5 linked regions of the Tribolium castaneum genome follow. The main gene of each other region encodes a partner of the protein of the gene in region 5 in a complex. Links are inferred from orthologs where the notes say so. Each region holds a gene or a part of one and is shown on either strand. Other genes may lie near its edges.

The links.
Region 1: IntS9 (region 5) and IntS2 share a complex: the UniProt entries of both Homo sapiens proteins name them as parts of the integrator complex. The link is inferred for Tribolium castaneum from reciprocal best matches to the Homo sapiens genes INTS9 and INTS2.
Region 2: IntS9 (region 5) and defl share a complex: the UniProt entries of both Homo sapiens proteins name them as parts of the integrator complex. The link is inferred for Tribolium castaneum from reciprocal best matches to the Homo sapiens genes INTS9 and INTS7.
Region 3: the proteins of IntS9 (region 5) and IntS11 are in contact, whole or in part, in a cryo-EM structure (PDB 8RC4), measured with the Homo sapiens proteins. The link is inferred for Tribolium castaneum from reciprocal best matches to the Homo sapiens genes INTS9 and INTS11. Residues at the interface, in NP_060720.2 of Homo sapiens: Glu127, Gly198, Tyr199, Ser200, Gln201, Lys202, Tyr231, Glu338, Phe339, Ile342, Phe343, Glu345, Gln352, Lys354, Val355, Tyr356, Leu357, Pro358, Glu359, Pro360, Pro361, Arg511, Arg512, Tyr513, Glu514, Lys515, Ile516, Glu517, Ile518, Met519; in NP_060341.2 of Homo sapiens: His94, Gln97, Ala98, His137, Leu138, His139, Gln140, Thr141, Lys274, His277, Tyr278, Lys280, Leu281, Phe282, Ile283, Pro284, Trp285, Arg291, Phe294, Ser449, Pro450, Ser451, Ile452, Pro453, Val454, Gly455, Ile456, Ser457, Leu458, Leu461.
Region 4: IntS9 (region 5) and IntS1 share a complex: the UniProt entries of both Homo sapiens proteins name them as parts of the integrator complex. The link is inferred for Tribolium castaneum from reciprocal best matches to the Homo sapiens genes INTS9 and INTS1.

The regions. Positions count from the first base shown.
Region 1 is NC_087401.1:16,832,121-16,836,692, reverse strand, and holds the end of IntS2 (integrator complex subunit 2), read right to left. Parts: coding exon 3,575-4,572; intron 2,726-3,574; coding exon 2,512-2,725; intron 2,465-2,511; coding exon 2,175-2,464; 3' UTR 2,154-2,174; downstream 1-2,153. Other genes in the region: dnaJ homolog subfamily C member 5, read right to left, coding at 1,045-1,336, 1,395-1,417. UniProt on the Homo sapiens protein: Component of the integrator complex, a multiprotein complex that terminates RNA polymerase II (Pol II) transcription in the promoter-proximal region of genes.
Region 2 is NC_087397.1:6,151,568-6,156,955, forward strand, and holds the end of defl (integrator complex subunit 7), read right to left. Parts: intron 4,422-5,388; coding exon 4,204-4,421; intron 4,153-4,203; coding exon 3,671-4,152; intron 3,622-3,670; coding exon 3,323-3,621; intron 3,266-3,322; coding exon 3,064-3,265; intron 3,018-3,063; coding exon 2,727-3,017; intron 2,354-2,726; coding exon 2,112-2,353; intron 2,034-2,111; coding exon 1,979-2,033; 3' UTR 1,925-1,978; downstream 1-1,924. UniProt on the Homo sapiens protein: Component of the integrator complex, a multiprotein complex that terminates RNA polymerase II (Pol II) transcription in the promoter-proximal region of genes.
Region 3 is NC_087396.1:21,613,542-21,619,965, reverse strand, and holds IntS11 (integrator complex subunit 11), read right to left. Parts: upstream 4,104-6,424; 5' UTR 3,973-4,103; coding exon 2,185-3,972; 3' UTR 2,169-2,184; downstream 1-2,168. Other genes in the region: gustatory receptor Gr103, read right to left, coding at 4,304-4,564, 4,613-5,461; Gr101 (gustatory receptor), read left to right, coding at 5,650-6,424.
Region 4 is NC_087397.1:1,925,556-1,932,104, forward strand, and holds the start of IntS1 (integrator complex subunit 1), read right to left. Parts: upstream 4,436-6,549; 5' UTR 4,394-4,435; coding exon 3,977-4,393; intron 3,927-3,976; coding exon 3,651-3,926; intron 3,601-3,650; coding exon 2,848-3,600; intron 2,800-2,847; coding exon 1,934-2,799; intron 1,737-1,933; coding exon 89-1,736; intron 45-88; coding exon 1-44. UniProt on the Homo sapiens protein: Component of the integrator complex, a multiprotein complex that terminates RNA polymerase II (Pol II) transcription in the promoter-proximal region of genes.
Region 5 is NC_087399.1:2,706,580-2,713,119, forward strand, and holds IntS9 (integrator complex subunit 9), read right to left. Parts: upstream 4,386-6,540; 5' UTR 4,283-4,385; coding exon 4,274-4,282; intron 4,228-4,273; coding exon 4,036-4,227; intron 3,985-4,035; coding exon 3,580-3,984; intron 3,532-3,579; coding exon 2,971-3,531; intron 2,925-2,970; coding exon 2,822-2,924; intron 2,779-2,821; coding exon 2,381-2,778; intron 2,337-2,380; coding exon 2,187-2,336; intron 2,138-2,186; coding exon 2,018-2,137; 3' UTR 1,920-2,017; downstream 1-1,919. Other genes in the region: uncharacterized protein LOC103314074, read left to right, coding at 214-289, 337-511, 556-745, 792-1,109; E3 ubiquitin-protein ligase UHRF2, read right to left, coding at 5,752-5,898, 5,948-6,425, 6,476-6,540. UniProt on the Homo sapiens protein: Component of the integrator complex, a multiprotein complex that terminates RNA polymerase II (Pol II) transcription in the promoter-proximal region of genes.

The sequences.
Region 1 (4,572 bases), on a different chromosome or scaffold from region 5:
GAAATTTTGCGAAATAATTAAGTTTATGCTTAAAAAAAAGGTAAATTTTTGCTCATTTTTCACCAAATTGGGTGATTTTTTCGTTATAGTTTAATAAAAAAAGACAAAAAACCTAAATTTTTGGTCAAAAAACGTGTTTAAATTCTCAAAACTTGCAAAAATAATGTCATTTTTGAGATAATTTTGTGATTTATTCACCTATTTTTAAAGAAATTTTGCGAAATAATTAAGTTTTTGCTCAAAAAAGGTAAATTTTTGCTCATTTTTGACCAAATTTGATGATTTTTTCGTTATAGTTTAATAAAAACAAACAGAAAAACTAAATTTTTGGTCAAAAAACGTGTTTAAATTCTCAAAACTTGCAAAAATTATATCATTTTTGACATAATTTTGTAATTTATTCGCCTACTTTTATAGAAATTATGCGAAACAATTAAGTTTTTGCTTAGAAAAGGTAAATTTTCGCTCATTTTTGACCAAATTTGGTGATTTTTTCATTATAGTTTAATAAAAACAAAAAAAAAACTTAAATTTTTGGTCAAAAATATTGTCATTTTTGAGATAATTCTTAACGAATTTATCTGGAATAGTTTTGCGTAATTGAGAAAAGAAAAAAAAAAAGAAAAAAATTTACCAGTGTTTATTTATCCAATAATTTCACAATAATTGTGAAAATCCCATCGTTAAAAAACTCTTTTTATTATCGCTATTTATAAGAAGAGAACATTATGTTACGACTAATAGTTATTGAGGAAAAAATAACTAAACTAAAAACTAGTAACTTGTTAGAAATTCTGCGTTTTTTCTTTTTTTTAATATTTCTATGAAACATTACTGAGAAACTTATAATGGTTATTTATCTTAAGCCGCCATAAAGTGTGGGCATAAATTTCAATAAACAAAGTAATCTCTGACACGCTTATTAGTCACAATACAAATCAAGCAAGCAGGAAAATAAAAAAAAGTGAAATTATACGCGTCTTGATCTTCAGCCAATAAAAAACCCATTGATTACCTAAAACTGTTTGGTAAAGAAACACTCACCTTGCACCAGGTCGACGTAACAACAAAATACGCATTGACATTCTCTTCCCCAAACTGTTCGGCAATGTAGAGCCCCAACGAGCCGTAATTATCATAAATGTTCCTTTTCGTCGGATCACTCAGAATCGAGTGTGCCCTGTTCACTTCCTTAAACTTCTCGGACGCTTCCGGATTGTTGGGATTCTTATCTGGATGGTACTTGAGCGCTAGCCGTCTGTAGGTCTTCTTGATCTCTTCCGACGTCGCAGTCTTGGGCAGTGCTAAGATCTGGTACAGGGAATCCCCCTGTGTGCTAAACAGAAAACGCCGCCTTTCCCACACCGACTCCCAACACACAGGTGGACACTTACGATAGTTTGCGTTTTGAATCCATTCCGTGGCGATTTTCCCAACCTTAACGCACATACAACGCTCAAAATCGACTCTGGAAGCGGGAGAATAGGAAATACTTTGATCTAAAGCCGCATTTTGCACGATTTTTACAACACGACCAGCAATTGTCAATAAAAACCGTTCGATGACGGCAGACGGTGGTCAAGCTGACGTGGGGACAAACGCAAAGTCACCAAGTTTTACCGGGGGGGGCGCCACTAAACCAAACATCATTGGCGGGAAAAAAACGCATTTTCAATTATTTAGAGCGTTGCACGATTTTTTCGGCTTTTAGGCACACAAAAAATTATTTATTACACATACAAAGCTATAAAGAAATTAATTATCTGTTAAAACTAAATTTGCAGTTGTAGGATTGAGAAATTCATTAGCTTTTTCTCATAGGTTGACATGGAAAAAATGTGAGAAATTAAATTTTTTTAATGAATTTATTTTGTTTTCGCAGGACGGACAACACAATTTTGACAGAGTTTGTCGTTTGTTTAATCAGAAATGTTTTTATAGCCAACCATGCAAAAATAGCTGTGGTTAGTAAGAATTTTTTTACAATGTCAAAAAAACCAACATAACTCGAAAATTATCACAGATAGGTATAGGGAATGCTAATACCGATCGATGCAGAAAAAAAATCTCCTCCATCTAGTAGAAAAAAATTGAGATATCCCATTTGAAAAAATTAGTTATGGGTGCTTGAAGTTAACAAATAAATAAAAACGCATTCACTTTTTTTTCAAACTTTATTCCTGCTTATAAATCTTCGATTTGAAGACAGCCCTATCCAAAATATCACTAAACGTCTCCTGTACTAACACACACAACTCCTTGCTTTCCTCGGCTGAAACTTCCAACTCTTTGCCCAAGTGGACGTCAAAATGCGACGCTAGCGACGCCTGTGATTTGCAAACCTTAGCCAATTGCATCATTAGATTGACGATATCGTCAACCAATGGCGGGAAAGCTTCACTTATGCGCACCAAGGCGGGTAAAATCGGGCGAAATAGGCGCACCCTTTGACTACTCGACAAACCTAAGAAAACAAAATTGCTAAATTTTCACACCAAAAAAAAAACGTACTTCCAAGTAGGGCGTAAAGTAGATTCAGTGCTGCCACACATAAATTTAAACTTTTGGGCAGCGCGTATTGTATGCACAAGTGTGATAACAACTGTATCGCAAAAATTTGTTTATCGAGACTTGGCTGTTGCATTAATTCTTGCAAAAAATCCAAACAGATGTGCATGGAGGGCACGCCTTTGACCATCACCTCGATCAGCTCGCTTGGATAGCCCTGAAATAAACGTCAAAAACTATATTAAATATATAGTAATAACACAATAAATATGATTATTTAAATTCACACGTGCGAATTAAATTATTGGTCTTAACATAATAATATATTCCATATCGAGCGCGATGTAAAGAGCTTGGTCTATGGGTTTAAGGACAACAGAATTTTGAGCAAAAATAGCTGTGGTTAGTAAGAAACTTTCTACAATGTCAAAAAAACCAACATAAATCGAAAATTATCACAGATAGGTATAGGGAATGCTAATACAGATCGATGCAGAAAAAAATTCTCCTCCATCTAGTAAAATAAAAATTAGGACATCCCATTTGAAAAAATTAAGTTACGGGTACTTGAAGTTGTCCAAACTTAAGCTTAAAATTTTTGGGTTTGTTAACTTCTTTTCCAATTCTGAACACACCGGAGGACAGATGTAAGCCTTGTCTTTTAATTCTCCAAACATTTTTTCTAAATCTTCAAAACTAAAAGAGTTACCGACTTTTTAAGTGACAGGTGCAAATCCAAAAATTTTCAAAAAATCTTAAATATCTCGAAAACGGTTAAACTTAGGTATAGGGAAAGCTGATAAAAACGGCCTTAAAATAACTCAACTAATCCAAAAACGCAATAAAAAACATAGATTTCCATTTAAAATAAGAAAGTTAGTAGTAACTTCCGGTATAACCAAAAGTGCCACCATCTTGAAAATATTTTCAAGATTTTCATTTCAACTGAACTCAACGGATTTTGGCCGAGTACCAACTTTCAGATAAATATCTTTATTAGAACTTTGGGGTTTAGACGAAACACGCTGTGTATTCCATATCGAGTGCGATGTACACAATCACTCACCTGAAAGTGTACCAGTTTGGCCAACATCGTATCCGCGATAAAAACCTGGTGTAGATAACTACAAACCAACGACCTAACTTCCTGAAGTGCCCACTTTTGCCCCCCAATCGTACGATCCTCATCTGTCTCAATACAAGTTTCTAGTAGCATTTGAACAGCTGCACTTTCCTGTGCTGCAATGGTCGCCCGACACATCTCCTCTCTATCACTCTCATTTAAAACTTGCCCCGCATGATCCAATCTCGGATTAGCTTGCAAATGTTGCATTAGTTGGCTGCGAGACGACGCGAGACTTGCTCTCAACACCCTCAAAACAATCGCATATAAAGGGGCACAGCGAAAAACACGCTCATCGCATCGCATGATCTGGAGAGGATCCTCAGCGACATCGATTCGTGTCAGGTTTGAGAAATCATCGACTAGGTTTTTGACGGTTAGAACCCACAATCGGCGGGGAAGTACCGTATTAAAGCGTAACCATACGTCTCTGTACAGGTCTTGTAAGTAGCGTGGGACATTGTCATTTAGGATCTTGCGGGCGAATTGTGTGAAAATCTCGGCAAATGGCCATATATCTATGGCTTGCTGTTTGAGTAAAGTTTGCATAAGCTTGGCACACTTTGATGGGTTAGTGTCCAAGTCATTGAAAGCCTCAATGACGCTTATTTGCGTCACGTGGGTTGGCTTATGCTCCGTTTTGATGGACATATCGTCCAACCAATCCTCCACTAGTGTCAAGTGGGGGAAATGCGTAGCTAGGAGTTTGAGCAACGGCCCGAAAAGACCCGAATAGGAGCTTTGGTCTTTTTGGGCGTGGTGTAGCAAGTATTTGATTGGTAGTTCCGATAAAAATTCGGAACTATACAACTTGATTTTGCGGTTAAACGCGGCCAAAATGTGGGCGTTAACCAATCGACAGTCCTCGTACAGGAGGAGATAGTAGAGGAGGAGGAGTTGTGGGGTGAGACTTGTACCATCCACCACAACGTCCTGATTCT
Region 2 (5,388 bases), on a different chromosome or scaffold from region 5:
TTTTCGTTTTTAATCGCCCAAAAATTATTTAATTTTACCTACAGGTCAACGATCAGGTAGAAAGTCCGCTCACAGACTTATTTGGGAGAAACCACACATACTTGCGAATATCACTCAGTGAGAGATGTAATTTACGATGTAAGTTCCAAATTTCTAAAATAGAAAATAAACAAAAAAAAATGTAGGTCAATATTGTATGCCTGAAGAAGGGGTCAAACTATCCCCGAGCGAAAAAATCCTAACATCTGACGAAATCATTCAAATATCACGCCTTTTTGTTAACGAAGGAGTGACTAAAATCAGACTAACGGGGGGTGAGCCCACTGTACGGAGAGATTTGCTCGCAATCATAGGTAAAAAGCCGCGAAAAAAGGCACTTCACTCACACAACCTTGCAGAAAATTTGAAAAAAATCGAAGGGCTTGAAACAGTAGCGATGACCACAAACGGTTTAACTCTGACACGTCAGTTGGTTGCCCTACAAAGGGCAGGCTTAGACATAGTTAATATAAGTTTAGACACCCTAAAGCGGGACAAATACGAGTTTATTACGAGACGAAAAGGGTGGGAAAGGGCCATGATGGGGATTGACTTGGCCCTACAGTTGGGGTACGACCCTGTTAAAATTAATTGTGTCGTCATGAAAGGTACTAGACACCCTCTATTGGCTGCTTTAACCAAGTTTTAGGGTTCAATGACGACGAAATAATCGATTTTGTCGGTTTTACCAAAGATAGAAACGTCGATATAAGATTTATCGAGTACATGCCGTTCACGGGAAATAAATGGGATTTGAGTAAATTAGTGTCATATCGAGATATGTTATCTGTGATAAAAAAACAATACCCCGATTTGTACCCTCTTGAAAACAAACCAAACGATACGTCTAAAGTATACAATAAGCAAAAATAAAAACAATTTTGACCGTTGATTATTTAGGCCTGGAAGGTACCAAAATTTCGAGGACAAGTAGGTTTTATAACATCGATGAGTGAGCACTTTTGTGGCTCTTGCAACCGCTTAAGAATCACAGCTGACGGGAATCTTAAAGTTTGCCTCTTTGGAAACACTGAAATTTCATTACGAGATGCACTACGAAGTGGTTGCAGTGAAGACGATCTAATCGCTTTAGTAAACGCGGCTGTGAAAAGGAAAAAAAAGCAGCATGCAGGTACAAAAATTGCATGCTTGAACCGCTTGCATTAAATATAATTACAGGCATGCTGAACCTTTCTCAGATGGAAAACCGGCCGATGATACTAATCGGTGGCTAAAAATAAATTTAGTTGATATATCTCTAAGGTACTGTAGGACCGAATAATTTTTGACTTTCCAAAAATATAACAAAAAATTTTTGTTCCAGCTCCCATTTTGGCCCGCGCCTACTCAACCAAGCTCAGTCACGTCACCTCCGAAGGCAAGGCCACTATGGTGGACGTCACCCCGAAGCCAGATACTGTGAGGACAGCCAAAGCTCGGGGCATTGTCCGGGTCAATTACAAAACGTGCGATTTAATTCGGGACGTCACTGCGAAAAAAGGCGACGTTTTGACCGTTGCACAACTTGCTGGCATTATGGGGGCGAAAAAAACGTCCCAACTCATTCCCTTGTGCCACAATATTGCGATTAGCAACGTCCAAGTCAACGTCAAGCTCAATTACGAGCAGAAACACATCGACATTGAGGCGAGTGTGCGGTCCGTTGGCAAGACTGGTGTCGAGATGGAAGCTTTGACCGCTGTCAGTGTGGCGGCACTGACTGTTTACGATATGTGCAAGTCGGTCAGTCACGACATTGTGATTGGTGAAATATCTCTCGTGAGCAAGAGTGGGGGCAAGAGTGACTTCGGCGAGCCAATCGTATTGAAGACGCTCGAGGAGTCTGTCAAGGATACGGAAATACGGGTGGGAGCAATCTGATCTATCGTTTGTTACTGTTTATTGTTACAAAATTGCGCCAAAATAAATAATTACTTACTTAGGGTTTTTTCTGATGAGGTCTTAGAAAAAGGTTATCCTCAGGCATCAAAATTCTAAAAAAAAGAAAAAACCGAAAAAATTCACAATAGAACAAAACGACGTCCACTTAATCTAAGTCTCGCCAAACTTACACATTGGCATTTGACGCCATGCCCGGCACCGAAATCGGTGTTAATTTTGCCTCTTCGGGCACTTTCACGGTCAAGGTTGACCTAGGACCGGTCTTCCAAGTGTTATTTTCTTCGTCAACGACTGACGCCTCGACGGCCAGCAAGTACTGGCCGCCTTTGGGGAACGCCAGCAGAAACTGCGCCGTGAAAAAGTCCTTGTGAGGTGTCACGGACTGCGTCAGCACCGCCACTTGCTCCAAATTCTACAAAATTTAAGTTTATTTCAATCCAACTAATTCCTAATTACTTGGAAAAAAAAGAAATGTTGAGCTTAGTGCTCTTAACAGACTGAGAAAAATTGACGACTAAAATTTTCATAAGAAACAAATTATTTAAAATTTGCGCCCGTCCCGTGTTTTTTTAATGGAAATATATAATTTTCTACAAATTTCTTCCTAACATTTTTTTTGTATCTTTAACCATTCGCAGCGTTTTGAAAAATATGGGGTAGAGAGTAATATTTTTTTCGAATTCACGGTAATGGAACTGCGCCCTCTACTGACATTGACAGAACTATCAAGGATGGGGATTTTATTTGTATGTCGTATCCTGATCTCTAGATATCCGTAGACCCACCTTATCCAAATCCTTGCTTTTGGAATTGTTCTGTATCTGCGAGGTCACAGTGACTATGACCTCCTCGATTTTGCGGAAAAGCCCCGGTTTCATGCCGTGTTGAATCACCCCTTCGACTTTCACAGCCAACTGGGAATTGGCTTGGACACTTATGAATTCACCCATGACGCGAGGTTGGGGTGAAATGGCCAACTTGACGCTGGTACATTGCAAAACTTGGAAGAAATACCGTGGAATAGGCAACGAAGCATTTGACAACACTTCGCAGATTTTCTTCAACAACTCAATGTGCTACAATTTTAAATAAAACACACAAAAACGAAGCGAATTTAAGTACCCGGTGCGTTATTGTAGTCATTGAAGAGCCATCATCAAGAGCGTGCGCAACTGTTAAAGCATTGCAACAAGCTTTTGTCAACTGTTGCGATTCGAGACGTGTTTCACGCGATCCGAATTCAATCGGATCGTCACGGATTTTTGATCCGTTGACACAAATACTTTCCACGCTTTGCTCCACAAGCACACACATTTGTTGCAAACTGCAAAAACACACGTTAAAAATAACTAAATGTACAGAAAAAAACAAACGAACACACATTTGCATATTTTCTAAGGTGGCAGGGTCAGCGTCGAACGCAGTTTGGTACAGCTTCCAGTAGAGGTCGCCACAATTTTTAAACTCTTTCACACACTTTCTCAACTGATTCGTGATATATCCGTGTCTTTGATACTCATCTCGCGTGTTTTGGACGATAGTAGCGGCAATCGCAGGCGGCGGGACTATACACAGGGTGTTGCAAGTATAAATGAGTTGGATCAAAGACTGGAGAAACTCTGTACGGATTCGCATATACTCCGCTTGGAATTGTAAATTATGTGAGGGGGTACTAGCCGCCTGAAACAGTGCGTAACAATCACAAACCAAAAGTCGGTAAAACAGGAACCTTCAAAGCCGCGATGGCTTTATTGTAATGTATGATCGCCCGTTCCAAGCGATTTACCAAACTATCGTCCGAAGTGAGTAAAAACGACTCGGCTTCCGACATTTCCTTCAAACAAACCAACCAGAAATGGAAATGTTCAGAACTGACTTGTTCCGTCAGTTGGTTGAAAATCGTATTTGCGATTTTGTGGTGGCCGTATCTGACCGCAGCCCGCGCTATGCAATAATTCGCCCACAGATTGTTATTTTCAATAACGCAAAAAATCGCACTTTCGGTTTCTTCGTTCCAGGTGTAGTCAGACATGCTTTGGAAAACCAGCGTACAAAGCATGATTTTGATGCGCGTTTGTTGCTCCGTTGGTTGGTCGATTTCGGATAAAGCGCGCAATAAGTTGAGAATACTGGCGAGAAGCGAGAGTAAAGTGTCGGGTTTGAGGCCCCCAATAGCCCCCAAAGTCTCACAGATGACGATGGTACAGTCGTCTGTAAAAAATCGATTTGATTTGTTCTTGAACCATAATTGAAATAACATACTGTGTATGTTGTCGAGGCGAGTGCCGAGCAGTTCCACAAACGTCTCGCAATATTCTCTCCGCGCTTCGCACAGTCGAACAGCACATTTCAGTGCCAGCTTGAGCTGTTTTGGGTGTTTGTCGTTCGAAAAAGTCAAAAGCAAAATTAAAGTTTCGAGGGCCGAAATCACTTCGTCCGCTCTTTCAGTCTCCAGTTTCTCCTTGTAGCTAAAAATACGACTGTTTTTTGTTCTTCCTGGGTAACGGAGGACTAAACTATTAGGGGGCGACAGGTGTAAAAGTCAGTTTTAAAATTTTGCACAATAAAACGACAATTTAATTTGAAGCAAGAATCAAATAATTAAAAAAAAATACAGAAAAATTGCCTTTATTTTAAATGTGTATTAGAATAGTGTAATTACAAATACTTATTAAGATTTCGTTAAAATGGTTTCTCTGGAATTTTTGCTCAACAAATAAGTTTTAACAAAAAAAAAGTGACGTAGGCGTAACAAAAATCAGTGAATCAGACAAACTTCTTTGTTTTCCACCTCGTAATAATTAGTTATCTCAAATAGTATATTTTGTACTGGTAACGTGTTATCCATATTCTTACACAATTCGTTGGCTAGTGTGTGTTGATTGTGGTTAGTGTATGCTACTGGATAGGATTTCAAGGGAGAAAAAAAGGAAACAATCCGGATTTAGGGGTCAGTCTTTAGTTTTTTCTTTTTAGAAAGATTACATTATTATCTAAAAATTTAATGGCACATTTCCAATCTCTAATAAGAGTTGAAAATACCTTTATTTGAGGTATTTTGAAGAGTTGTCTGTACCATGTGATCATTTGAATTTATTAGTTTTATAATTTGTATGAAAACGCTAATTAACATAATTAAAATCAAGCTGAAAAGTCAAAGTGAGTCAAATAAAACACTAAAAGGTGTCTCTGGTTAAATAAAAATTGACCTGTCTCGGGATGTTTTAATTTTTTGTTTATTTTCTGATACTCAGGGCAGCTCGTTTTTTAAAAATCACACTGTATATGGTATTATTAACACCTTGTACTTATTTTATTTTTTATTTATAGATTTATCATCTCCTTAGCTTCAAAAAACTTCTATAATTCTATAATTATTAATAAATAAATTACGGCGAATTCGATACTGAAATAAATATGGAACAAATTTCAAATTAAAAAAATCTC
Region 3 (6,424 bases), on a different chromosome or scaffold from region 5:
AAATAAAACCGGCCGCTAAATTGAATGCATTCAAGTTCGAGGTTAATTTGTCTCGCTTCGAAATTAAAGTTTAATTCGCGCCCCAATTTAATAAAAGTGTACTTAAGTTTAGGTTAAACGGTCCCTTGATGTACGAATTTCTTCAAATTTCACAGCACAGCACAGCACGACACAGAATCACTTTAATTAATTCGCGTCGCGGTCGCGGTTTAATAATTTATTTAATAATTTAACAAACAGACGCACACGCACAGACACACGTCCGACCGCTTCGAGCGCCAGCGGAAAACTGCCGTTGACACGCAACAGTTGACGTACCTATCAAAAAAAGTACACGTGCTCTCGCTCTCGCACCGTTTACGAGGGCGCCTCAAAAATTATTCTGCCCGCCACCAAATTTAATTCATTTTAAAAATTAAAAATTAAGTATTTGCAAACAGCCCTCTAACACGTGGACACACTGAATGTAACGGGGATGTTGAGAATATAAAAAATGTCCTGCAAACCACTTGTTCACCTCAAAGCCAGGGTTTCAATGACTTTTAGAACGGCCCCGTATTGAAAAATCAATAATCAGGTGACATTTGTGACGTATTTAGTGGAAATGAAGCGCGCCAACACGAAATTATGTTATACGAGGGTGGTTTGAAACTCGTGCGGCGGCATATACGAGGGTCGTTTGTGGTAAATTTTGTATAAAACTTCCTAGTTGTGTGAAAATTAATTCGTCGATTTGTAGAAAGTCATATTTGTTACCTTTTAAGTTATTACGGACAAGTTTAAAGCTAAAACATTAATTGTGGCAATCAAAATACGCTAAAACTAATTTTAGCATCAAAATTTGTGAGATTACCAACCTAAAAATCGCACTAAATCGTGTGTCGATCATGTATAGGACAGAATAAATTTTTTGCTTTGAGGTGTAACGTATTTAGAGTCAAATAAGCGTTCCAAATTTAAAAAATTTTAGACAAAAAGCGTAAAGTTAAATTTACGAGTATCAAAACACTTCTCACAACATGTACTCTAATTTTAATTACTTTTAGAACTGCCCCGTATTAAAAAATCAATAATCTGGTGACATTTGTGACGTATTCAGTGGAAATAAAGCGCGCCAACACAAAATTATTTCATACGAGGGTGGTTTAAAATTTGTACCGCGGCGTTTGTTGTAAATTATGGATAAAACTTCCTAGTTGTGTGAAAATTAATTCTTCGATTTGTAGAATGTCATATTTGTCACCTTTTAACTTATTTTGGACAAGTTTAAAACTAAAACATTAATTGTGGCAATCAAAATACGCTAAAACTAATTTTAGCATCAAAATTTGTGAGATTACCAACCTAAAAATCGCAATAAATTGTGTGTCGATCATATATAGTTCAGAATAAATTTTTTGCTTTGAGGTGTAATGTATTTAGAGTCAAATAAGCGTTCCAAATTTAAAAAATTTTAGACAAAAAGCGTAAAGTTAAATTTACGAGTATCAAAACACTTCTCACAACATGTACTCTAATTTTAATTACTTTTAGAACTGCCCCGTATTAAAAAATCAATAATCTGGTGACATTTGTGACGTATTCAGTGGAAATAAAGCGCGCCAACACAAAATTATTTTATACGAGGGTGGTTTAGAATTCGTGCGGCGGCATATAAGAGGGTCGTTTGGTTGTTTGAACTAATTTTTTCATTATACAAATTAAGAATAACGCAATTTCTCACTGATCCGTTTTCAAATTGTGCATATAAATTGCTTTTTTGATGTTAAGCGCTATTTAAGTGGCACCCAAAGTACGATTTAGTTTAAAACAAGTTTTAGAAAATTTTAAGTTGCACTTATTTTCGGTGCAATTCAATTTCAGAGCTTTATTTTATTTTAATTTTTATTCTTGGACACTCAAAATGTTTGGCATTTTTCAATACGAAACGTCAAATTATTTTTAACAGATTTAAAGCAATTTGTTGTATTCAACTCATTCTCACTCGTGGTTTAATAATCCACTCATGCCGATTTACACTCAAACTCGTTAAATAAATAACTATTAAGTCACTCCGCACTCTTTTTGACAGTGGGGGAATTTCTGATAGTCACCCCTAAAGTCGTACACAATAAATTGAAACAATTTCTTTTAAATTTTCGTGTATTGGGGGTAAATAAAACACCAAATCTCAACAAAAATAAATTATTGTCCCATTCGATTCAACAAATTCAATATATAACTGCCCAAATCCTCGTCCTGATTGGTCCACGAGACGTAGACGTTCTTTTGTTCGTCCTCATCGCCTTCAACCTTGACCAGAACCGACTCGATTGAAATCTCGCCTTCGGCGAACACCACCGGCCATTGTGGCAAATTCTCTTTAATGAAACCGTGTAATTTATGGGCCGTTGCTAACGCCGGCCCTGTATCATTCAAATGAACCGTTGACGAAAACCGAATTATATGCCTATTAATCCCAGCCTCCTTACACGCGTCGTCCACGTCCATCAAACACACATTGTTCTCCTTCATGACGAGCACTCCGTGCAGGGTGCGCCTCCGTTTGGGGTCCGGCGGCAAAGCGCTGAATTTCCTCGCTTCGGACTTGAGCAGCGGCAACGAAACATCGATTGGGATTTTGACCGGTGTTGAAATAACACAAGTCTCGCCATTGGCGGGGTTATAGCAGTTAATACTGAACTCTTGGAGGATTTTCTGCTTGAGAAACTCCATTTTCTCGGCCTCGCCGTGGACAAGCATAACGTTTCGAGGTTCGCAATGTTGGATCAGTTGCATGATGCCTTTGGCATCAGCATGTGCCGAGAAACTCATGTATTCAACGGACATTTTCACCTCCACGATTTGCTTATTTTCGAATTCGACTCGTTTCGCCCCATTCAGAATTTTATGGCCCACGGTGCCTTGGACACAAAAACCGGGCATTATGACCATGTTGTTCTCATTGGGGGCCCACTTTTTGAAGATTTGGAGGCTCAGCCCCGCGTGGAGCATCCCAGGTGTGGCGAAAACCACCATGGGGCCCGGATTATCAATATACGAACGGTCGAAAGGCTTGATGTGCTTGAAATCGAACATGTTACGTTGCACGAACGTTTTTCGGATTTTTTGATTCGTCCAAGTTATAAACATTTTGTAGTAGTTGTTCGCCTTTTCGGTGAGTCCTAGGGCAAAGTACACGGGGGCTTTGAGATTCATACGTTCCCAGTATGTCTCCAGAAGGATACAAAGTTCTTGGGCACGTCCTAATGCAAACACGGGGATTAGCACTTTGCCCCCACGGTCCATACACTCGTGGACTTTTTTCAAAAAGTCGCGTTCGCGACAACGTTTCGAATCTCGAATGGTAGTGGCGTATGTCGATTCGGAGATTAACAAATCGGGGCGACATTTATCAATCCAGGCAGCCCCCAGATGCCGGTCGGGGGTCATGTTGTAATCGCCGGTGTACACCACAGACTGGGCCCCCACGCGTATCCAGAACATGGCAGCCCCCAGGACATGTCCCGCATAATACGCTTTAATTTCAATCTCGTTGTCCACCATCAAAGACTGGTGTAAAGTCACAGCAATGACTTTCTTCATACAGTCTTTGATCATTTGGGACGTGAAAAAATTCTGGTCACCTTTTTTCTCAACTGAGACTTTTCGCATGTCTTCCAGGAGAATGGGGGCGATAGCTTTAGTGGGGTGAGTCATGTAGATGGGGCCTGAGTAACCCACCATTTCGGACATGTAGGGCAAAGCCCCGCAATGGTCCAGATGGAAATGGGAGATAATTACACAGTCGATGTAGGAGGTAAGGGGACCTTCTTGAGATATGTAGGAGAAGTCGGGGAAGCGGCGCTCGTCGTTGTACCCCATGTGCATGCCGCAGTCCAACATTATGTTTTTGCCCCCCATTGTGAGGAGGATGCAGCTGCGGCCCACGTCCTGGCCGGCCCCCAAAGGGGTTATCTTGATATCCGGCATTAGAGGGTTAAAAACACCAAAAAACTAAGCAGAGCATTTGAGGTTACGTTACGAGTAGGTCATTCAGTGGCGCAGGCAACGGATCTACCACAATTCATTTTTTACTTTTAACTCCAAAACATAATGTATTTATTAACTTATTCAACTGTACTTATTAGTGATAATAAAATTTTAATTGATTACAAAATTGTCTACAGTTTTTTCCACCCATTTTTTGTTTCATTTCAAGAATTAAACTAACGTCTGGTTCAATTGATCTACTATTAAATTCACTATCGACGTGAATTACTGGTTGCCTATGGCACTTTTTTGGAAAAACCAAAATTATATCTCAATTTCGATTAAGATTACCACATAGGTGGCAACTGCAGCAATCATCTAAAAGAAACCCTAAAAAAGTAAAAATCTTGTTGATTTTTACCAAATGCCCAAACGTCCAGTCTAGACTAAAAAAATCCATAGCCGTAAAGCGCACTTTGGTGTTGTAAAACCGAATGGAAATCAATTGAAGATAACGTACATTTCTGTCAAGTTTCCCTCTTTCCAAATACTTATTCCAAATATCGTGCAGATAGATTGCAGCTAAATTAGCCTGGAAACACTTTTAACGCAATCACTTGCCACAAATCTAACCGTTTACCGTATTTTGAGTCCTTGCAAATCCATCTATTACAAAACACAACCAAAAAAAATGCAAAACGCCAAACATGCAATTAAAACCGACATCTGTCCAAAAAGAAGGACTACCATGGACTAGAACATGCAGTGTGTAGTAACTACCATCAACCATGTACCCAAACCACATTCCCATCGCAGCCAATGTTGTGATTTCGAACAGTCTTGTGATTTTTTTGGTCAAATCGACCAAATTGTAATGAGAAAACGACAATTCTTGGACTCGTCGAATGTTCGTTTTAATATCCTCATCCTCTGTTTTGATTTGGTGGCGCAAATGGTGATTAATCGAACCAAATTTAGATGAAATAAAGTTGAGAATATCACACAAAAACATGTGATCAAAAATATTGATGAACAAAGGAATGAAGTAAAAAAAGGATAAATCAATCATAGAATTCGAAAACGGCACTAGTAAAATTAAGCCAACTATACCGGCGAAAAGCAAAATTTGTATGCAACTCAAGCGCGACTTTTCATTTGTTTGAAAAATTTCAATTTTGTCGGTTTGCTCAAGTAAAGTTTTGAGTCGCTTGCTCCTTTTGCGAAACATAACGAGTGATGTTAGCATTGATAAAACCGTTCCAACGGTTGATAGCAAGTCGAGGTAGTGGAATAGACCAGTGAATCCCAGAGTCATGTAATCGGAGGAAAATTTAACACTAGTATACAGAAAATACAGCTGCAAACAAACGTAAAGAACGGTGGGAGATATCTTTACGATTTTGTGTGAATTTTTGGGACAAAACTGGATGATTCCCAACGATCTGTACACAAATATCATGTAGTTTGGGAGTGTTTCAAACAAATACATTGTGATAAAGTAGGGGAACGTAACTTATTGATTCAAGTCTAGTTTATCCAACCACTCAAGTAAATTGTTCATAAATAACAACAATGCTGTATTGTTTCTATACCTTGTGAATTTTCTCCGCACTATCACATTTTCCGATTATAAAATTAACTTTTTTGAGTTAAATGATTCAAATATACTAGGTAACCATGTGCCAAATAAAAAACAAGTTATTATTATTAGACTCATCCACTCAGCCTAATTACTTGATTCTTTCAAACAAAAACAATACGTATTTAGTCCTCAATAAATATTTACTTGTCAAACACTCCAAACCAAAAATGCCCCTCCTTCCCAAGACTCCGCTCCCTTTAACCCTCCTTTATAAACTCCTCGGGATCATCCAATTCCCCATCAGCGCCCACTTTTCCTTCATGTCCCGTTTCTTGTGCCTCCCTTTCTACTCCTACTTTTTCTACCTCTCCTACATCTACACAACCTACTCCCGAAAACTCTCCGGAATTTTCAAATACATCGACCAAATGGCCGGTTACACCGGCTTCCTGGCCATGTTAACGTCCATGGTAATGTTTTACAAACGCAGCAACGACTTAAAAACCCTCCTATCAAACCTCGAATCGATCCAAATCTACTCAATCAAGCCCAAAGAACGCAACTCGAACCATTGGGTGCGAAGTGGCCTATTTGCCTTAATCACCGGCAATGTCTTATTTTACCCGTTTCTGCCAAGCGATGTGAGCTACAACTTGTTCAGTTTCGTCCCTCTGGTGGTCAACGCTTTGGACCACCTCTTCCTCAACGACATTCTCAGCGACATTTGCGACAAATTCGAGCAAATCAACCAGCACTTCCGGCGCCAGATCAAATCCGTTGATCTGTTCGTCATTTTCCCGCTCACCAAAGCCGAAAAAGTGAGAAACTTGAAAGAGGACGAAGTCACGTTCAGCGTGCAAAAAATCCAAG
Region 4 (6,549 bases), on a different chromosome or scaffold from region 5:
AAATAATTGAAAATAACGTCCAGTGATTGTTTCTCAAACGCCATCTAAAATTGGAATCGTATGAATTGTCTCGGACTTTTACCTTTACCTTGGTCACAGTGACAATGTCCCGATCTTTCGAACCGCCATAGTTTGGGCTAAAAATATTATTCAACAAATTGATAATATCGCCGCTATTTGTGACAATCTGTTGGGTTTTTACTAAGTTGGGTAATTGTTTTTTACTCTCGATTTCGATTTTAACATCAATGTCTTGTACAACGGGCATTTGCATCTCGATAGCCTTGACAAAGGTGTCACCACCCACTGCGCCTCTTTTGTTTTGGACTTCCACCAATTGAATCATGTAAGTTTTGTCCAAAACTGAGTCCACGACCAGTTTCGGGTCCAAAAGTGTGGCTTTGTCCAAAGTACTCAGCAATTTACTGATGGAATTTGTCGGTATTCCGAACGATTGTATAAAAAGGACCAACTTTGGCGGCTCTAATTTTTCAATGGCTGCGTCAACCAATCGTGGGACGTTTGACCGAATCATCCGCAGTTTCATCCAATCAGGGAGATACGACGTTCGTTCGTTTGTATCAGGTGTGTAGGCTTGTGGTTGTTCGGCGTTCGCCGGAAACCAAAAATTTAACAAAGTCTCGAACGGCTCAAAATTCTCCAAAGGACCGTAAGTCAGTAACACAATAGCTGCGTGTATTACTAAAGTCTGCATGTGGCATTGTTCCCCAGTCACCCAAGTCACCAAAACATACTCGCTGTAGTTTTGCACCGAACTGTAAATATCCTCCGAGAATTCCTGCGCTTTCTGAATATGACTCGCAAAAATGGTCAAAAGGTGCTTCAAAGTTTGGTTGTCCGGCCCTGGCAACACGTACGAAGCCACGCTGTGTCTCTCGATAATAACCGACGATAAATCGGCGATTAATTCGTGCAGTTCCGTAAACGAATCGTTACAATCCTGCGTTGCCAAAAAATTGATATAACTCGAAACCCGCGCCGGATTTGTCTCAATTTGCAAGGCTTGCCGCAAAAACTGTATAAGCACTGGTTTAATCATCGTAAAGTGTGGAAAATGTGTTATGTAACTCGTCAACCAGTTCGTATTATTCGTCTCGCTTTCCTCCCCTTCGGCCAAAATCAAATTCAAGCCTTTGGTGGCCTGCGTCCGACTCGCCCCATGATCGGACGTCAACCGCCTGAACAAATACTCCAAAACCTCACAGGCAGTCTGCGGATCATTCTCATTAACCACCGTCCGCAAATGCGCCAAAAGCTGGCCATGTTTCGTCAATTTCTCCGTCGGTGTCGTCGACAGGAGATACTCGCACAGACATTGCACAGGCAGGTGGGCCAACGCCCCCTCCGAATTGTGCACCAGCTCGGCCAGCCACGGCATATGCGCGGTGCCCCCTTGCCGCGACATAATGTCCAATAGAAAATCGGGGTTCCGCGAGCGGCACAATAAATGTCCCATGCGATGCGTGTTGTTCAAGTGTTGGAGCTGGTCGAGGACGGCTTGGGGGGGCCTTCGGGCTTCGCCCTCAGGCCGCAACTCCATTAATTGGGGCAATAGGAGACTGCTCTGTTCGGTGATTTCCATTTTAGTGCTCGCGGCCGCGAGGTGTGATTCAAATTCCAGGATTTTTTGCTTCTCAAGGGCGAGGATTTGCTGCTCGCGGGACTGGTAGTCTTCGTCCAGGGAGGTCATGGTGGGCGGGGGAAACGAAAAGTGACTAAAATGGGGATAGTTAGGGTCAAGTATACGGGGATTGGAGGTCGGAGCGAAACGAGATACAAAATCGCACTCAAAAAATATAGTAAAAATTCACAAATTATTTGGAAAAAAATGTAGAAAAGTTGAGCTGACTGTGATGGAACAACGGTTTTATTTGTACGTCGTTTCATATCCTGACCTTCAAGAGATACTAACTTTGTTATGCACATTTCCATGAACATGCGCAACGTTGGGTATTTGTTCCAGACCTCGTTCCCAAAAGTGACCGGATTATGAGCCGCTATGATCAGCAAAATGAGCCAAACTTTCCAATAGAGCCCAGAAATGGCCAAACTGGGGGGCACATACCCCGCCGGCAGCGTGATATTCTCCGGATAATTATAGCTGCACAAGTTGAAATAAATCCCGATTATCTCCAAATTATCAACGACCAAGGGCGGGGCGCAGTCTTGGGGCAAATTCGCCGCCCTTCTAATCAACTGATCGCTAATTTCAATCGCTTCCGTGGGACTAATCGGGTGTTCTTTCGAGTTCCCGATCAGCAAAATCCTCAAAAGAGTCGCCTGAAGCAAGGGAACCTCACTCGTAAGCCTCAAAAACAAGTTCCTCTCGTTTTCGCCAGGCCACGAGTCGACCTTGTAGTAATGCTCCGCTTGTTCGAGGAACAAGACTTTGAGTAGAACGTGGTGGAAGTCGTTGAGACTTGGCCGGAAAACCCTTAGCGCGGAGTCGTTGAGCCAAGTCACTGCCTCCCGCTGTATGTTACTGACTTGTTTCTGGAAGGCTTTCAGGACCGTGACGTCGCGTTTGTTTTGCGTTGAGGCGTCGCGGACCTGAGGGCTGACGCACAGCAGCATACACATGCAGACCAGGTCGGCCAGTGATAGAAAAATTCGCTCGCGAAATTCCGACTCGCGCACGTTATTCGCAAACTCTTTGCGCTCGCGAACGAGCGAATGCACGATGCTTAACAAGTTGAAATCGTGCCGGAGGACTCGGGTGATTTCTTTCAAAAGCGCCCGCAGCGAACGCAAATAATCGTCTTTGTTTAGGAGCAACTCCTGGGGACAGTTTTAATGCAATTTGTTTTTGATTATCGGTGTACTCACCAGGCAAATGTCGGCGAAAGCGTCGGCACTTGCCTCAGGTGCGACCTGAAACAGGGCCCCCACGACGATTAAATTGTTGGAATTTCGGGCATTGGACAGTTCGTTGTAAATCGTGTATTTCAAAAGGGGGTACAAGTTCTCCGGGAACGAGTAAACCATCTCCCGGAGACAGTTGTTGAAGTAGTTAACCATGGGTTTGTTCTTCAGTCTGAGCTTGCTCAGCTGCGCTATTATTTCCAAGTCTCTTTGCGAACTCGCCGAGCAATTGTAGCACAAATAGGCGAGGAGTTCCTGCGCTGATTTCATCAACTTATGGTTGTGTAGCCAACTCTCGATGCGCGAAACGGCAATTATGCGAATTTCCACAAGTCCTGAAGCGATACTCAAGAAGCGGACGAAGTTTTTCGTGATGGTTTCCGGTTGTTGGCGCCTTGCTAGTTGTTCCTTGATGGCTTCAAGGACGATTTTTTCGACGTTTTCCTGCGTTTGGGTGAACCGGGGATACACTTTGACGTTCCAGTTTTCAACTGCGGCTTTATGCTCGAGAATCACTTCGCTTTTGGTGTCGTCGTCAGCGCTTGTGATTGTGAGGGGGCTAGAAGTGTCTCTAGCCGTGGAATTCCATGTCTCGGATTTGAGGAGCGAGGAAGGGGGCAATTTGGTGTTAAACGCCGTGATTATGTTATCAACGAATGGTTTACAGTACGGATTGTCGATAAAAATGCGATCGGCCACCGCGTCCTCCACATAAATCTACGAATAATTGTGATTCTGAAACATTTTTAATTTTTTTTCCGACTTACTTTGACGAAAATTTCCGGCCATTGGGCGACATCGGTGAAGGCGTGAGTTAATAAATTAATAAACAGCATGTGGAAGTAAGAATTTGTTTTGTTAACGCCCTTAAAACCGGAAGTTACATCACGCCGCAGAACATTCACAATAGCCGCTATGATATTCTCATTAGTGAATAACTGGGGTTTGCAGCTGCAAGTCAGTAAAAGACTCAGATAAACCACTTTACAAATCTTAGTCCTTTGAGTCTTCAACGAGCGAATGACCCCCAAAACATACCCAACCTGAAGCAACCAATTAATTTCACCCCTAAACACAATCAAGAAAAAATTACAGCTTTATCAGTATTGCCGGCATTAACAGCCGCCATAATACTCTCGAACAAATCGCTTGTCTCACAGTCCACAGCCAGGGCTTCCCACGGCTCAACCCCCATCCTCTCCACAGGTAGTATGCTGCTAGTGGAGGGCCCTGGCCGGCTTCCCGGTATCGCAACTTTCATTTTCTTCGAAGGGGGCACTGTAAGACTAGACGAAGTCCCTTCACGCTTCAATTTATCCGTCACTTTACTGCTACTTGTTTGTAAATGGGAGGCAGTGCTGGTTTTAGGGAGCGGAACGCTACGTTTGGGGTCATCTCGAGGGGAGGATTGTTTGGCCCCCAAAGCGATGAACAAGTCAGGGGGTTGTTGCGTTATTTTGGCCTTGGGGCCACGAGTGGCTTGGCTCTGGCCCGGTTTATTCCGATCCATGGTGGACCAATTATCACAAACAATGCAACAATTTTGGTTTTTTCGCAGTCAAAACAAGAAAAAAATTTTGACAGATAAGAGATAAGTTGCCAGTTGCACCAACCATTTTTCAATAACCATCTCTCTCTTATTCTATGGTGTTGGTGCACAGACTAACAGGTTTTGATTTGTGTGAAGACAGCTCCCAAAACCAGCTCCTCGAATTTCCGAAGAGACCCGAACATGAAGCCAGTTTCAGACTAGCAAAATAAGTTTCAGTTTGCTTAGATGTATGTTTGGTTGTCAGCTTTGAAACCGTTTAATAAAATAAAAATCCGAAAAAACACTAAACACCCTCTTAAAAATGACATTTTAAGAAAGTCACTATGCTAATAGCGAAAAACTCAATTATTTACCACAAATTGCTTTTTAATTTTTCCCACTTTTTCACCTAATTTCAATATTTATGGCTCCGCAAATGCATTATTGTAGTTTTCGCCCCATTTCACCCCGAAATCGGTTTTGTCACACAATGCCCTTTTGACCACTAATTCAACAATAAAAAAGACGTTTTTTAAAAATAAAATTATGGCCTTTTAGTTGTCGGAACAATGTTAAAAATTGTTATGTTGCCCAGCTCCGCAAATGCACTGTTGCAGTTTTCGCCCCATTTCACCCCAAAATCGGTTTTGTCACACAATGCCCTTTTGACCACCAATTCAACAATAAAAAAGACGTTTTTTAAAAATAAAATTATGGCCTTTTAGTTGTCGGAACAATGTTAAAAATTGTTATGTTGTTCAGCTCCGCAAATGCATTATTGTAGTTTTCGCCCCATTTCACCCCGAAATCGGTTTTGTCACACAATGCCCTTTTGACCACCAATTCAACAATAAAAAAGACGTTTTTTAAAAATAAAATTATGGCCTTTTAGTTGTCGGAACAATGTTAAAAATTGTTATGTTGCCCAGCTCCGCAAATGCACTGTTGCAGTTTTCGCCCCATTTCACCCCGAAATCGGTTTTGTCACACAATGCCCTTTTGACCACTAATTCAACAATAAAAAAGACGTTTTTTAAAAATAAAATTATGGCCTTTTAGTTGTCGGAACAATGTTAAAAATTGTTATGTTGCCCAGCTCCGCAAATGCACTGTTGCAGTTTTCGCCCCATTTCACCCCAAAATCGGTTTTGTCACACAATGCCCTTTTGACCACCAATTCAACAATAAAAAAGACGTTTTTTAAAAATAAAATTATGGCCTTTTAGTTGTCGGAACAATGTTAAAAATTGTTATGTTGTTCAGCTCCGCAAATGCATTATTGTAGTTTTCGCCCCATTTCACCCCGAAATCGGTTTTGTCACACAATGCCCTTTTGACCACCAATTCAACAATAAAAAAGACGTTTTTTAAAAATAAAATTATGGCCTTTTAGTTGTCGGAACAATGTTAAAAATTGTTATGTTGTTCAGCTCCGCAAATGCATTATTGTAGTTTTCGCCCCATTTCACCCCGAAATCGGTTTTGTCACACAATGCCCTTTTGACCACCAATTCAACAATAAAAAAGACGTTTTTTAAAAATAAAATTATGGCCTTTTAGTTGTCGGAACAATGTTAAAAATTGTTATGTTGCCCAGCTCCGCAAATGCACTGTTGCAGTTTTCGCCCCATTTCACCCCGAAATCGGTTTTGTCACACAATGCCCTTTTGACCACTAATTCAACAATAAAAAAGACGTTTTTTAAAAATAAAATTATGGCCTTTTAGTTGTCGGAACAATGTTAAAAATTGTTATGTTGCCCAGCTCCGCAAATGCACTGTTGCAGTTTTCGCCCCATTTCACCCCAAAATCGGTTTTGTCACACAATGCCCTTTTGACCACCAATTCAACAATAAAAAAGACGTTTTTTAAAAATAAAATTATGGCCTTTTAGTTGTCGGAACAATGTTAAAAATTGTTATGTTTTCCAGCTCCGCAAATGCATTATTGCAGTTTTCGCCCCATTTCACCCCGAAATCGGTTTTGTCACACAATGCCCTTTTGACCACTAATTCAACAATAAAAAAGACGTTTTTTAAAAATAAAATTATGGCTTTTTAGTTGTCGGAACAATGTTAAAAAAATTTATCTTGTCCAGCTCCGCAAATGCACTGTTGCAGTTTTCGCCCCATTTC
Region 5 (6,540 bases):
TAGTGTAAAATGTGTGCACTTTAGCGCCATTAAAATGAAAAACAGCTCGGACGGCTTGTTTGGGTGACAGAAATTGTTTGGTACAAAATTAGTTGTTATTGTTATTTTTAGGCTTCCAACTTATTGATTGTGCTTTCAACAAGATGATGTTCGGGACGAAATTGTTAAACCCGACGAGAAAATAATAAATTAGGGGCAGTGTGTGTCTTACACATGCATTTTTGGATTGACAAACGTAGTCAAGGATGTGGGTTTAGTGGCAGACGACTGGTGCCTCCATCATTCTATGGTAGAGTTTGGGTTTGTTTAAATAAAGTGGCGAGTGTTTTATTAAAGGGTACGGCCGTAATCCGAGATTTGTGTGCAGCGGCTTTCATCCAAAACCGATGGTAACTCCAGTACATCGCTTTCAGTCTATTGAGAGTGTGGCCAACAATGGTTTGAGATACGCGCGGTCTTCGGGGTACCATTCCAGAGCGCCCCTGCACTGCCAGCCATCTGTCCACTACAAGTACCGAATTTTTGCTTTAGAAACGTGCTAACGTAAAATTTCAGTGGGGCAGCTACGAGCGTCCGCAACAACACTCAAATGGGGCGCTCTCTGGAAATAATAACAGGGGGGCAAATCCACACGCCCACCCCTCGGAGACACACCACCCCGACGGCCAAGTTCAAATGCGGCGTGTGGGTTTTTTTCGCAATAGTGACGTTCTTTATAGCTGGTGCCAAATACTACTTTCACGGGGTAAAAAATAACGCCATAATTTGTGTCGGAATGATTGTTATTTCAGGTCAACATTGGGATGGAAGCGTTCGCTTTCTGCTCCCTTTTGGTAATACTTTTGATAATTGGAGGTTTAGTCTCGTTGTACGAAGCGATCACGGCGACTGCGAACGCGCCACAGGAGGAGAGCGTGGCCGTGGCCCCCGTTAATGACCAGGAGGAAACTCACAACCAAGTGCCAAGCTCGCTCATGCCGCCCGCTTCTGCTGAATTGCCGCCGCCTCCGTACCACATTGCCATCATGTTGCCTTCGCAAAATGATACCGAAACCGTGCAAATTATACGGGATTCCCCGCCGCCCTCCTACGAAAAGGCGGTCACATAATGTTGCCAAGGCGAGGGTTGGTCGCGTTCTGTTAACTCCCGGACCCCGCAGGCAGCACACCCGCAAAATAAATAACAAATTAACGGGGGACTAACTCCAACCCTTAATAAAAAATTATTTATTTTTTAAAAACGGTTGTTGAGAATTACATTTGATTCATAAAAATCTGGAAAGCCTCAATATTGTTGAAACTTTCTTAGTCTTTTTTTTATAATCTAGTGGACACTGATAGTCTGTCGCAATAAATTAATATTTAATTTATTTATTGAAATAAAAAAAATATAACGCGGTGGCGCTGCCTGCCCTTTACTGTTACCTACTGTACTAAACCACTGAACATTTAAACCTTCTCACTGTATGACACGAAACCAGGCAGGGTGATTTTGCTTAAATACGTTAGACAGACCTTACAATGTTCAAGAAATGTGATTTGGCTGTCTTTTATCAGTCAATTTTGTACATACTTTATGAAGAAAGCTGTGAATTATTTGAATAAGTTTATTAAGCATTCCATGTGTTTTACTTTATCCAGAAATATCAAAAAACGTGCCTGTATTATTTAATATATACACTGTGTAAATTTCTCATAAGTTACTCTCGTGTGTAGTTTTTGATATATTTGTAATTACTTTTTTTTAAGACAATCAAGAGGTAAAGTGTGCGTTTGTTTCTTCCACCATATATACATGTCTGTAAAATATACTATATTTATTACTTTTTACTGTAATATTATCTCGTAAGCTGTTGTACAATTTACAATTGTAACTTTGTGTTTGATAAGTGCAGGGTGTTTGGAAAAACACGTGCAAGTATTAAATACAAGTATTTTCATCTTTGTCTACTTCTGCATACATATTATATACATGTGAAATACGATATTCAATGTAATAAATTGTTTAAACGCCTGACTAAAACTTCTTCAAACACTGCATAACGATACTGCGCAGCTTTGTCCTCAAAGTTTCGTCACCAGTGCACACCACGTGCGTACTATTGTCTTCCAACTGAATCAACGCGTCTTCCTCTTGCTTCAAAAAATCATAAAATAAATAATTAAACCGGTAAGTATGAACTTACCAAATGTATAACAACGACATTCCCATGCGACTCCACCTTCGGCTCACTAATCCCCTCCTGACTCAACTTTTGCAAAAAATCAGTCACATTCAAACTCCCCCACTCATACTTGACGTGTTTACTCGCCTTATTCACACTGGACGACAAATCCTTAAAAAATACCTACCAACTTTTTCCTTTATCATTTTTCTCACCTGTATGCTGTGCACGTTGTCTTTAATACTCAAAGTCCCCGTAATACTCGATAAACTAATCCCAGGCTTCACTTCCACCGGCACAATTTTTTGAGCAACTCCGGTTTCAATAAAAATCTGACTATGTTTCCGCTTCAAAGGCAAGTTAATCACTTCGCCCCATTTGTACGGAATTAATGTACGGTCGTGATTATTTTCAATAACATAGTCGGTCAGGTTTGGGGCCGAAACTGGGGGCTGAGTGTAGCATTCAGGGACCACAAGTGTGTTCGGTTTTAAGTCCCTGATGAGTTTGTTGGCTTGGGTGAAATTGAGCGAAGTGTCGATGGCACAGTGAGCCACTTTCATTTGCAGGGGCTGGTACGGGGCTAAGGCTTCGGTGTAGTCGAAATCAGGCTCTGCAAAAAAATTTTATTAACAAAAAATTTTAAATGTAATTACCTGTAAAAACAATGCAGTTCCTTGGGTTATTGCCCCACAACTCGATAAAACGTACAACATCGCCAAATCTTAAGGAGGGGTGCCCACAAAAAACAACACAGGGCTAAAAATAATTCAACTATTTTTGGCTACTAAATTTTAAAAAAAACCTCCTGGAAATCCGTGCTGAACCCGTCCGAGTAAACATGTTTAAAATGCTTAAGTTTGTTGTTTTTGACCAAAAGTCCGTGCGGGAACGGCTCTTCGGTCACATACACCTTGTTCTGTTTAACCGACGAAAGCCACTCGGCTAAAATATTAGAGTAGGCTAGGCTAGTATCAGCCACTGGAGACACGAAAAACATGGGACAGTTCGAAACGCCCAAATCTTGCATTTTCACCGACAAGCACTCAAATAAATCGTAGACAACTCCCGTGGGATAGCACGGGATTAAAACATTGCCTCCCCCACGTAGCGTGAGCCCCACCACCACGCACAAAACGCCCAACATCGAGTCCGGGTTACTGATGGGGGTTTGTGTGAGGTCTGTCATGATCAAGACATCGGCGTTTTTGAGGGAGTGGTGGTCCATGGGGCGGGGGTGGGTGGTGAGGGTGCTTGAGCCGCTCAAATAGACGATCTTTTCGTGGTCGGAGGTGATGATCCAGTTGGAGGAGCCGAGGCAAAAGCCGGAGCTTGAAGGCATCACTTTCAAAGCCCCGTAAACGTCCTGGCAAATATTTAGTTATTTATTGTTGCGGAATGAATCAAAAATTACAATTTTCTCGTTGTAGCCCACCATCTGTATGCGCGATAAACTCGCATTGACGTCGTTCATGTTGTAGAGTTGTTTCCAGGATTTGGGCTTGAAGGAGTCGCTCAAAGGATAGGGTAATTTATGAATGAGATTTTTCCACTGGGTTGCGAAACTGGCTTTGGGGCACTGGTCAATGTAATTAACGAGTTCCTCGAGTAGTAGTCGTCCGATTTGGAGAGTGGGCTCAGTGGCGTACACCCTACCTTGGAACCCAGTCCCTTCTGTGATAAATGGCAGTGCCATCATGCACAAATAATTCGAAATTAAGATAACGTCGACTTGGGCAAAATCTATGAGTTTGTTTAAAGGGGGGCAAAATTCCGGCGGTGAGTCGACAAAAATGCGGTCCCCATTCTCTTTCAATTCCTGAAATTTTCAACTTATTTTGCTACTTTACTCGATTTTAACTCTATCTACTCCTTCCAAATCTGAATCAGAGACGTCGTTTGGCATCCAGTTTGGTAAGTTTGATAATTTACTCGAGGCAACAAATGATAAAGGGAGGAAATTTAATACTGATTGCATGGAAAGACCGCAGTCCAACATTAAAGTTATTTCCTTGAAGGTAAGGATGTGACATGGCTTGTTCGGGTCGTTACTCAAACAGTACTAAAACGAAACGTTATTTGAGTTAATCTGCATTAAAATAACTCACTAATTTCATTTTAAAACTGTTTATAACCTAAAACGCCGACAAAAAACGAACATAACCATAGAATAAGAGAGAGGAACATAACTACAACTGTCTTAAAAAAATAATTGATATGCAACCCACATTCCACAAGCGATTGGGGACAAAAAACTTCACTTTGGTCTCTTAATTAATTAATAATTACTTTTTAATCTTTTTATCAATCGATAAGCCTTAATATGTAAAAAGTCAGTCGCAAATTGGGAACTCCCACTAATTCATAGTCCGAATAAATAATTTTCGTTGACTCTATTTTCAAAATGTTCCTGTTATCACTTTTACTGAAAATGGGCAAAATTCTAGCAATTGTGCCCTCTAAATCAAAAAAACTCGTAGTTCCCACGCTAGTTTTACTCTTTCTTACACTAAACGTTGCCCTTGCTACATTTTACAAAAAATCTGATTACATGAGTCTCATTCACATCAAACTTGTGATTGCTGTTTTAATGGACGCAACTTTGTTTATCTTTAATTGTTTAATTATTGTTGTGGCATCGTTTTGGAGACGCAAAACGTGGCTTCGCCTTAACAATGAACTGGGAAAAATTTGTTTATTTGCTCCCAAAAATTACTACACGAGCTTTGTTCTAACTTTTTTTATTTTTTGGACTGTTAGTGTTTACGACGCGTTTGTATGGACTGACGTAATGGGATTGGAATTTTTCAAGCAATATGGGATTGAAATAATACAGTCATACATGTTGTTTTACTATCAGTATTTATTGTATGTTGTTCTTGATATAATACTTCAAGGTTACAAAAATGTAGGTGTTATATTGTCCAAAAAACACGACTGTCAAATATTAAAAATTAAAAAAACACTTCGATTGTTAAAAAATACAACCGAGCATTTTAATAAAGTGTTTGGATGGCCGTTCCTTCTAATAATCGTGTACACAAGTTTGCAGATTCTTAACTACTTTGATGACAGTTTTGAAAGCGGATTTTTGTATGAGAAAAATGAGTATGATGAGGTCATCATTTCTAACGTCTGTTTCCTAATAATGACCACGGTAAATAATTTTTTTCTTTATAAACATTCACAAAACATCGAGTTTTTTAGGGCGGCACCATCGTATTAATATGGTTGTGTGACTCAGTTTTAGTAGAGGCAGAAAAACTCACAATTTTGGCACAAAAATTACACAGGAAAACTGTAATAAGAAATTACCAAATTATTATTTCAGACATGACCGCTAATTTTCCAAAATTTTACGTGGGCCGATTTGTAGTCATAACCAGGTCAACAGTTTACCACATTTTTAGCATTATTTTTACATATTTAATTGTGATGATTCAGTTTAAAGAAAAACTAGTTGTCAACGCTATGTAATTTTTAAATAAAAGTGATGTAAACCATGTTTTAATAACTTTTGGTCCATTGACAAAAATGGTGGATGCGCCGGGAAAGTTAAACATTTATTTCTACTACAATAAATTGTTCAACGATTGAACCCATTTCCTGGAAAAAGGAGTTTTAAGGCCGCTTGTAAATTATCATTAATCCTCAGCGAACAACTTTTTTCCAAATCGGTCCTGCAAGTTGGGCAAAAATGAATGTCTGAAGCGAAACAATTAATAAGACAGTCCTGGAACCAAAACCATTGAATCAATGTTCCAAAAACTAAACAATCTTACGTGGCATATGTTGTGCAAGCATTTGGTTGTAACAGGCATGTGTAAAATCTCGTGACAACAAACACAAGTAAACAGTCGTTTAACAGTTTCCAGAAACGTCGCTTTACCATTTTCCAACTCTTTGCTACATTCGTCCCACAAAGCTTTATTTTCGGAATCTTTTTTCATAAAGTATTCAATATTGGGGTCCAAGTGAAAACTAATTGTGTCGATTTGTATTACTAGCCATGGTGGAGCTGCGCTATCGTCTCTTCTCATCAAAAAACGCCAAACAACGGCGTCAAATTTACTGATTTCGGGAAAATATTCAACGACTTTGTAAATTCCGTCGTATCTGTAGCCACTTTCAGGGCCGTATTTTGATCTCGCAACTGTTGAATTCCGGATAACTCTGACGGGTTTTCCGTGTTTCCAGACATCGGCCACTCCAAACCCGTTGTTCCGCATTTTATAGTTGTTACAGTTTAAAGATAATGTCCTGAGAAATTAAAAAATGAGCAATTAAAAAATCTGTCTTAATTACTTTACTTAATCATTTTGTTCACAAAAACTCCAGATTCTTGAACCCCGATGACACGTGTTGTCGTCCTGTG